Linked DNA regions of Tamandua tetradactyla. The protein of the gene in region 2 purifies or fractionates together with the protein of the main gene of each other region. This does not show direct contact. Links are inferred from orthologs where the notes say so. Each region holds a gene or a part of one and is shown on either strand. Other genes may lie near its edges.

Region 1 (3,908 bases), on a different chromosome or scaffold from region 2:
CTAAACCTTGTGACTACTCTTCATCTGTCCCTAATTATTCAGTTTTTCAACTTTAGAGTCTTGTAATCACTAAAGATAGCCCCTAATGTGTGTTAATGAAGTCCCCCGAGTCCCAAATTATCTTGATGACTGAGACTGGATCTAGACAAAGTGGGCCCTCCTGATATGCGCAGTAGCTTAAATTTGAATGGGTAAGTCACCTATCCCTCGTGATAATACTAAAAATCATGCCCGTCATTATATTAAGGCCGCTATTTTCTTACCAACACTGTGTGACTAAATGCATACTCAATCTGCACATGTTCAATAGCAGATCACCCCTAATTACATCACCTGGGGCCAAAGTGCCCATTGTCCAAAACCCTGCTCACCTTTTCTCTAAAAAAAACTACCCAAATTACCACAGTTCAGGGAGAGATTTGGGGCCGTTAGGCTGTCTGCTCTCCTACTATGTGCACAACAATGAACTCTCTCCTTAAAACCCCTGGTGTCTCAGGAATTGATTATTGAGCGCCTTGGGCAGAAGAATCCATGGACTAAATTTATCTGTTAACATTCTGGCTTAGATTCTTCATCATTGAACAAACACTGAGCCTTGAGGATACCGCAGATACAATCCCTACCCTTACGGCATTCAAAGTCGGAGCCAGAGGACATAAACGAAACAGGCAAATGGATCAAAGGAGGAAGACAGGGCCACGGTGGCTCAGCAGGCAGAGTTCTCGTCTGCCATGCCGGAGACCCGGTTCCATTCCCAGTGCCTGCCCATATTAAAATCAAATTTAGAAAAAAAAGAAAAACGGAATGCATACTTGCACATCAGGTGGTAATAAATATTACGGAAACAAAATAAAACAAGTTAAGGACACAGAGAGGAAAGAAAGGCCTTGCTGCAGAATATCTGGTACCCACTAAGGATTCAGAAATACTAAATAACAAACACTTAAGGACACAAAGTCGACGGTTGATATACTATGGACGCTTTTAGGAAAATCTATTCATCCTCAAAAAGATTTCCAGAAGGTGAAAGTCTTCACTGTTTTGTGGAGGGAGGAATCCGAGGCGCAGGGTGAGAAGTAACGCGAGTCACCAACACAAGGATGGAAAATGCAACCGAGAAGCGACAAGCGCCCTCCAGACCGCCATCTAAGCAAAGAGGAGCGAGCGCTCCGCAAAGGCCGATGATGTCATCGGCACGCTGCGATCTGTAACGTAGCTTCTCCTGAACGTGGCCCCTTTTCCCTTCCCAGGCGGGTCCTCGGGTAGTCGGGTAGGGTCTGAATCAAGCCTCTCATTGGCTGCTCATTTCATCAATCCCCTTCGTTTCCCTAGTCTTCCGCCCCGCCTTTCCGAGTTCTGCTCTGATAGGCCGGCGCGGCCGTCACTTCAGAAAGATCCGCATTCCTTCCGCCTTTCTCCAGGAGACGGACGGTGAGGAGGGTGGCTCTCAGGCAGTGCCCACCCCGGAGGCTCTGCTTCCGCCTCTGATTGGCTGCTCCGGGTGTCGGTCGCTACGGCGCCCGCCGCTGTTTGGCCAGCCAGCCCCAGTTCAGCGCGGCGCCGGCTCCGCCCCCATCGGGTGTTTGTGGTGGGGCTGCGGAGTCGCCGATCCCGCCGGAAGCGCCAGGACAATGGGGACCCGGGACGATGAGTACGACTACCTATTCAAAGGTGCGGCCGCTGGGGCAGAGCCGGGCGAGGGCGAGGCGGTGGGCAGGCGCGGCGAGGCTGCGCTCCGGGCCTTTGGGCCCTGGCAGGGATCCGGGACTTGGAACCCGGGGGGAAGGCCGGGAAAGGCCAGGCTTCGTCAGCTTCGGGCCGGGGTGCACGGCTGTATGGAGCGGGCAGCCCCGAGAGGTCTGGGGACGCGGGGTGCGCCGGGGCGGGACCGAGACCTGAAGGAGGTGGGACAATCCGTTGGGGGCGGGGCCTCCGGGGGCGGGGCCGCCCCAGCATTTGGCGGGCCGGGCCGGGCTGAAGCGCCACTCGTGGTGGGGGCGGGGCCATTAGAGGCGGGGCTAGAGCCTGTGGGCGTGTCTCCGTGGGCGGGAGGGGCCAGGCCTGGGTGGGGGCGGGGTCCAGGGTCAGCGCCCTTGGGGGCGCACAATGGGAGGTTGGGTCGAGGTGAGGGTCCCTCGGGAGGTGTGTGGTGCGAGGGGGAGCCTGGACTGGGGTGCGGACCCCTAATCGGGTGGAAGGGCTCCTGGAAGGGACCATGTCTGAACCCAGGCGTGGTGATTGAAAGCAAGAACTAAATGAAACGCTTGATGGTATCAACCATGTACCTGCACTTCTCTAAGCACTTTACACGCAAGCGCTCACTTAAATCCTTACCTTGTGAGGTGAGTAGTATTCAGCCTCTGTTTTTACAGACTAGGAGACTGAGGCCCAGGGAAATAAAGGCCCAGCCAGAAAGTGTTGGAGCAAGACTTGAATCCAGGCCGGCTGTGGCCTTTATCATTTAGGGAGCATGTTTGGGGGCCTTGTGGCCAAGATCTGGGTGTTAAACCCTCTCTCTCCAACACTTGAGCACTGGTGTCCTGGACCTTGGCCGTCCTGCTGGTGGATCTTCCCTGCCTAAGGAACAGATGGCTACCAAGTAAGGCCCAGGCAAGGCTAGCAGCTTTTGCCGAACTGGGGCCAGCTGGAGAGCCTTTGCTTTACCCCTCGAGCTGGGAAGACTCCCTTCACATTATTAGAATCCCTGCTTTCTCTGCTGGGCAGGTTGGAGGATCACTGCCTTTGCAGTACCTTGCCTGCTGAGCTCGGCTTTGGCCAGGTTCTCTGCCATGCCTGCTGGACTCTCGGCTGGCAGTGGCCACCCTGGAGACCTAAACCCTGGGTCCATGCACTACACCTTTGCCCTGCTGCCTGGTGTGTCAGCACCTTGGGACCAGGGCTTTGGGAATATAAAGAGTAGGGTGGAGCTCTCCCTACCTAGGATATCCACATTAGTCAAAGGTTTCCGGGCTGAAGGAGAGCCTGTGTCAAGGCCCTGAGTCAGCCCACAGCACCATGGGCTCAGGGGGTTGCAAGCAGGCTGATGTGTCGCTGGCAGGGCACACCAAAACTCACGTGCCTCCCAAGCCTTGGGTTCTTGGAGACTTTGGTCCTCCTCCAGCTGGTTTCCCATCTTCACTCAAATCACCTTAGGGGGCTGCTCCCCTGCTCATAACTGAGCACCCGTCTGATGTGGCACTGCCAGGGCAGGGGGATTTCCCCCCCAGGTGCCACATCCTGGTTTCCATTGCCCTCCCTTGCTTGTCGGGCTGTCAGTTTATTGTCACCCTTTTGCTTTTATAAACAATCAGATACAAATCATCTACTTGCCCTTTGGATTATTTCCTTGAAGTGTGTTCCCAGAAGTACAGTTACTGGGTCAGGGGCAATAGAGCAGCTCTGCACTTCTCAGGACTCATCTATAGACTCAACTTCCTGGAAACACAGATCAGGTCTTACGGTAGCGGGCATACTGTGAGGGCCACCTGTCCCCTGTCCTCCTCTACTGACCCTGTTTACCTAAGCCAGTGGTAGCAAGCTGCTGAACTCGATCTAGGGTGGTAGCAGAAGTCTAACTCACAAAGTCAGCATTTCTGAAACTCTGTTCATCCAAGGTCTCACCTTCCAGCAATAAATATCTTTTCCTACTTTTCTTTAAATCCAATAAGTTTTTCACTAAGTTAGGTGTATTAGACAAGGAAGGAAGGAAGCAAACCAGCAAACAAACCACCACCATTACATCACTGCCACAGATATGGAGGAGGGGAAGGTAGAAATGTGAATATGTACACCCCCAGACCTGGGGGCCTGCTATTGAGGCTCAGGTCTGGGCCCACCTGCCAGAGAGACATAGAAAACACACCGGCCCTGAGCCCCCTCCTCTCCTCTCCTTGCAAGGGTCAGACCTG
Region 2 (3,908 bases):
AAATGAAGATGCAGAGGCTGAACCTTTCTGAAAAATGGAGCTTAAAGAGGTTTTCCTCCCTCACAATGCAGTTATAGAGCCTTCTGAATCTACACAATGGCTCCATTAATACAGAACCATCTTGAGCTATCCGTTAAGCCCGTCAACAAGCTCCACTTATGAATAGGGAAATTTGGGTGTTTAGAGACCAAGCAGCCTGAAGCCCAACAATGAGTCAGGATCAAAGCAGGTACCGGACACAGGAATCTGGAATTCCCATCTCTGGCAGGGAGATGCAGTCTATCTTTCAAGGGCATAAAATACTCCATGGCAAACAGACGGCAGATTTGGAGGTTAATTTCTACATATCTACAGCACCCAGGTGAAGCGGGAATGAAAGCCAACCTAAGGCCCCAGTGTCATTTAATCAGGTGGAAAATGAGCACTGCTTCAGCCCTGGACACTGCTCCCCTTATAGCTGGTAAATTGATGACAAGAGATCCTCCAATCCGTCTGCACATCGAGGCTCTCTATTTTATCCGATTTGAGTCCAGAAAAGCATCGTTGGGTCAGTCAGGCAAATTGGGTATATTCTTTGCAAGCATGCATGCTGAAACTGGACTCACCCTCTGGACAAGGGAGCCTGCCAACTTCAAACCCTCCCAAGAGAAAGTTAAAATATCATGCATATCTAAAAGGCACAAGGTGACTCAGCGTGCTTCATAAATGGTAGGGTTTAGGGGGTAAGATACGACTGGCTTATATTCTAGAAGATCCAGCAAAGTACCGATGTAAACTAAACAAGGCTTACGTCTGGTATACCAGAGCATAGCTATCAATTGTTCCCTGGGGTTAAGCATTATCCTTTCCCAGCACCTGTGAAAGAGAACAAATTTGTCACCATGGGGTGAATTAGTTTTTGCCTCCTTCCGGGAGGAAAGGAGATACCCTGACCCTGAACCCTCGACTGGGGAAGTACAGATGAGCAGTCACACACACACCCCCGCACCCCCTCCCCACCCACCCAAGAGTGGCCCAGAGCGAGGGGCCTAGCAAACTCCAAAAGAAAGCCACGCCTACTTCCCAGCTGGCTTGGCTAAGACTGACCCTGGCTCTGGCCATCATCGGGAAATTATGGCTGATCTAGCGTCCAGGGCAAACTGCTAATATTTGCAACCACAAAAGAAAGCCCAAATTATTCTAACCTTCTTTTTGGAGAGCTGAATTCTCCTCACCAACTTTTTGGAGAATGGGGGTAATTGTCATAGGACGGCCTGCATTCCCCGCCCCCGCCCTCTCCCCCTCACCCCCCACTGTAATGCTCTCACTGGGTCCCTGGGTTAGCTTGGGGGGCCAGGAGGCGGCGGGTCTCACTCCGGTTAACCCTCGCTGCGCCCTGGCCCGTCCAATCTCAGCTCCAGGTGTCCGGTCCAGCGAGGGCATCTGCCACGTACATTAATGTATGTAGTAAACACACACACACTATCATTAATAAGAGAAACTCCCCTGCCCACAGACATTTTCAATTCATCAAAAACCCACCAAGTGCTTACTATGTGCCAGGCACGGAGTGGCGTTCCACGGGTTACAAAACGCCCCAGGTGCCGCCCCAGGTTTCCAAGAGCTCAAAGGCTGCGAGGGCTGGGGCGCAACAGCCGAGGACTCGAAGCTACTGAGAGCACTGTTATTTATCGAGGGGCCCGCCTCGAAGAGTCACCTCACCAGTCCCCCGGGAACGCAAAAGGCCGTGATCGCCACGCTAGCTCTAAACGGATCCCAGCGCCGAGGCCACACGTCCCCCCTCCCCCGCAAAGATCCGCCCCTTCCCCCGCCGGCCCCTTGCCTCCACTCAGCTCCCCTCCCTCGGCGCGCACTCACTGGGTCTTCCTGCGGCCCTGGTCGCGGTGCAGCTCCCGCAGGTCCACCTCCGCGCGGCCCAGGAACTTGTCGAGGCCGAGCAGCGCGCGGTGCAGCACGGTGAGCTGCAGGGTGGCGGCGGCCGCGGGCCCGGCGGACAGCAGCGGCGGCAGCTCGAAGGTGGCCTCCTCGCGCCACACGGGCGCGCCCAGGCTGCGCTCCGACACCGAGGTGGCGTACTTCTCCTTGCCTACCTGGATCACAGCGTACGCGTCGCTCGTGCCCCCCGGCCCCTTGGCCCGCAGGCCCCGCGCCTGCAGCACCGTCACCTGCACGTGGGTTGGGGACCACACGACCCCCGGGCCCCGGCCCGCAGAAGCCGCCAGGGACATGGTGACCGACCCGCCGCCCACCCCCGGACGAAGAGGAGATAACCCTGCCCCACAGCCTCTCCGGCGCGCCCGGGCGACCCTACGGGCCTCTTTAAAGCTTCCGGCCACGCCCCCGCCGGGGCCCGCCTTCCCCTGTCGGGACCCCGCCCCACCTGCCGGCGCTCCCGCCCCGCCTCCGGCGCGCACGCAGCTCAGTGCACCCGGAATGCCGGGGGGAGGGCGGGAGCCAGGAGAATGCGTGGGAAGGGGCTGAGCCTTCCAGAATTCCGGTCTGGGAGGCGGTGGGTGAGCGATGCGTTGCCGGGATGCCGAGGGTCGCACGGCCGAACAGGACCTTGCCAAAACCGTGACTTGGGAGTCCGACCTAATTTCTAATCCCCTCAGCGTCGTTTGGTAGGCTAGTGACCCGGTGCAGATCACTTAGCATTTTTAAGTCTCAGTACCTTCGTCTGTAAAATGAAATCACAATTATCTAAAAAAAAAAAAAAAAATGAATTAACGTTCTTAGCACAGTGCCTGGTAACCATGAAGATGAGAAGGAAGGCGAGGAAGTTGGGTGCAGAAATGGTGTCAGGTGGACGGGAAAGGAGGAAGATCCTTTGCAAATCTGAAAAGAGGAAGGTACGGGGGGGAGGGGGTGATGATGTCCGGGTGGGAGTGTCCCATTTTGCCCTACCCTTACCAAATAAGGCGAGGCCAAACTGGGGAAAGGAAAAAAAGAAGGAACTGAAAATGGGATTGCCAAAGTATAGGACCCCAGGGACTTCCCCAGGTTCCCCGTTTCTCCTGGAGGAGCCCTCTTTTGTCCCTCCCTCCTCTTTATCTCTGGGCACCCAGTAAGCCACTTCATTCTTCCAAATGTCCATTAGCATGGCAGCTTGCCTTCATTTCCAGTCCCAGTTTACAGGGTCAACTGTCCTTGTCAGTTTGTGAAGGTCACATCTAAAGAAAGGCCCAGAACAGAGAAGGGACTTGGTCAAGAGCCCACAGCAGATCCAGGACTGGAACCCAGGTCTCTGAACTCCTGGTCTGATGTTCTAATTGCACCCTTGGCTTCTTCCGGAACCCGATCTTGGACTACTGCTGGTTGCCCAGCTGGTGTCCAGGTGCGTGACCCTCTGATCCACACTGCACATCGCTCCTCTAGCCTTCTTTTCACCCTGCGGCAATGCTTCACACCGTTGGCGGACTGAACTGTGTACCGCAGTGTGAACATGTTCTTGGTTGTCATCCTGGTGGGTGTGAACCCATTGTAGATGGGATCTCCTGAAGTTTCCTTCAGTTCAGGTGTGGCCTCAACTCAATCAGGTTGGACTTTAACCCAGATTATTTGACACCTTTATAAACAGAGTGACATTCAGACAGAGAGACGTCATGGGAAGAAGCCAAAAGTCAAAGGAACCCAGAAGAGAAAGGAGAAAAACACCTTCCTGGGCATTGCCCTGTGACAGAAAATCCAAGGGCCAAGGTTCCCCAGCAGCCAGCCTCAGACCAGAACCCCACAGTCTTCACAGAGAAAGCATTGCCTTGCTGATGCCTGGATTCTGGATGTCTAGCCTCAAGACTGAGCCAGTAAATTCCCGTTGTTTCAGCCAATCCATTGTATGGTATTTGCTTTAGTAACAAAGGAAACGAAAACAACCACCAACTGCATTAACCTCAGATTTAGAGATTTCAGGA

Evidence for each region.
Region 1: the proteins of RAB11FIP1 (region 2) and RAB11B purify together in Homo sapiens (affinity purification with mass spectrometry; 3 studies listed by BioGRID and IntAct, counting the BioPlex papers as one, with this or other methods). This does not show direct contact. The link is inferred for Tamandua tetradactyla from reciprocal best matches to the Homo sapiens genes RAB11FIP1 and RAB11B.

The regions. Positions count from the first base shown.
Region 1 is NC_135337.1:84,847,681-84,851,588, forward strand, and holds the start of RAB11B (ras-related protein Rab-11B), read left to right. Parts: upstream 1-1,495; 5' UTR 1,496-1,631; coding exon 1,632-1,671; intron 1,672-3,908. UniProt on the Homo sapiens protein: The small GTPases Rab are key regulators of intracellular membrane trafficking, from the formation of transport vesicles to their fusion with membranes.
Region 2 is NC_135352.1:5,477,787-5,481,694, reverse strand, and holds the start of RAB11FIP1 (rab11 family-interacting protein 1), read right to left. Parts: upstream 2,307-3,908; 5' UTR 2,229-2,306; coding exon 1,858-2,228; intron 1,748-1,857; exon of another isoform or gene 1,522-1,747; intron 977-1,521; exon of another isoform or gene 1-976. UniProt on the Homo sapiens protein: A Rab11 effector protein involved in the endosomal recycling process. Also involved in controlling membrane trafficking along the phagocytic pathway and in phagocytosis. Interaction with RAB14 may function in the process of neurite formation.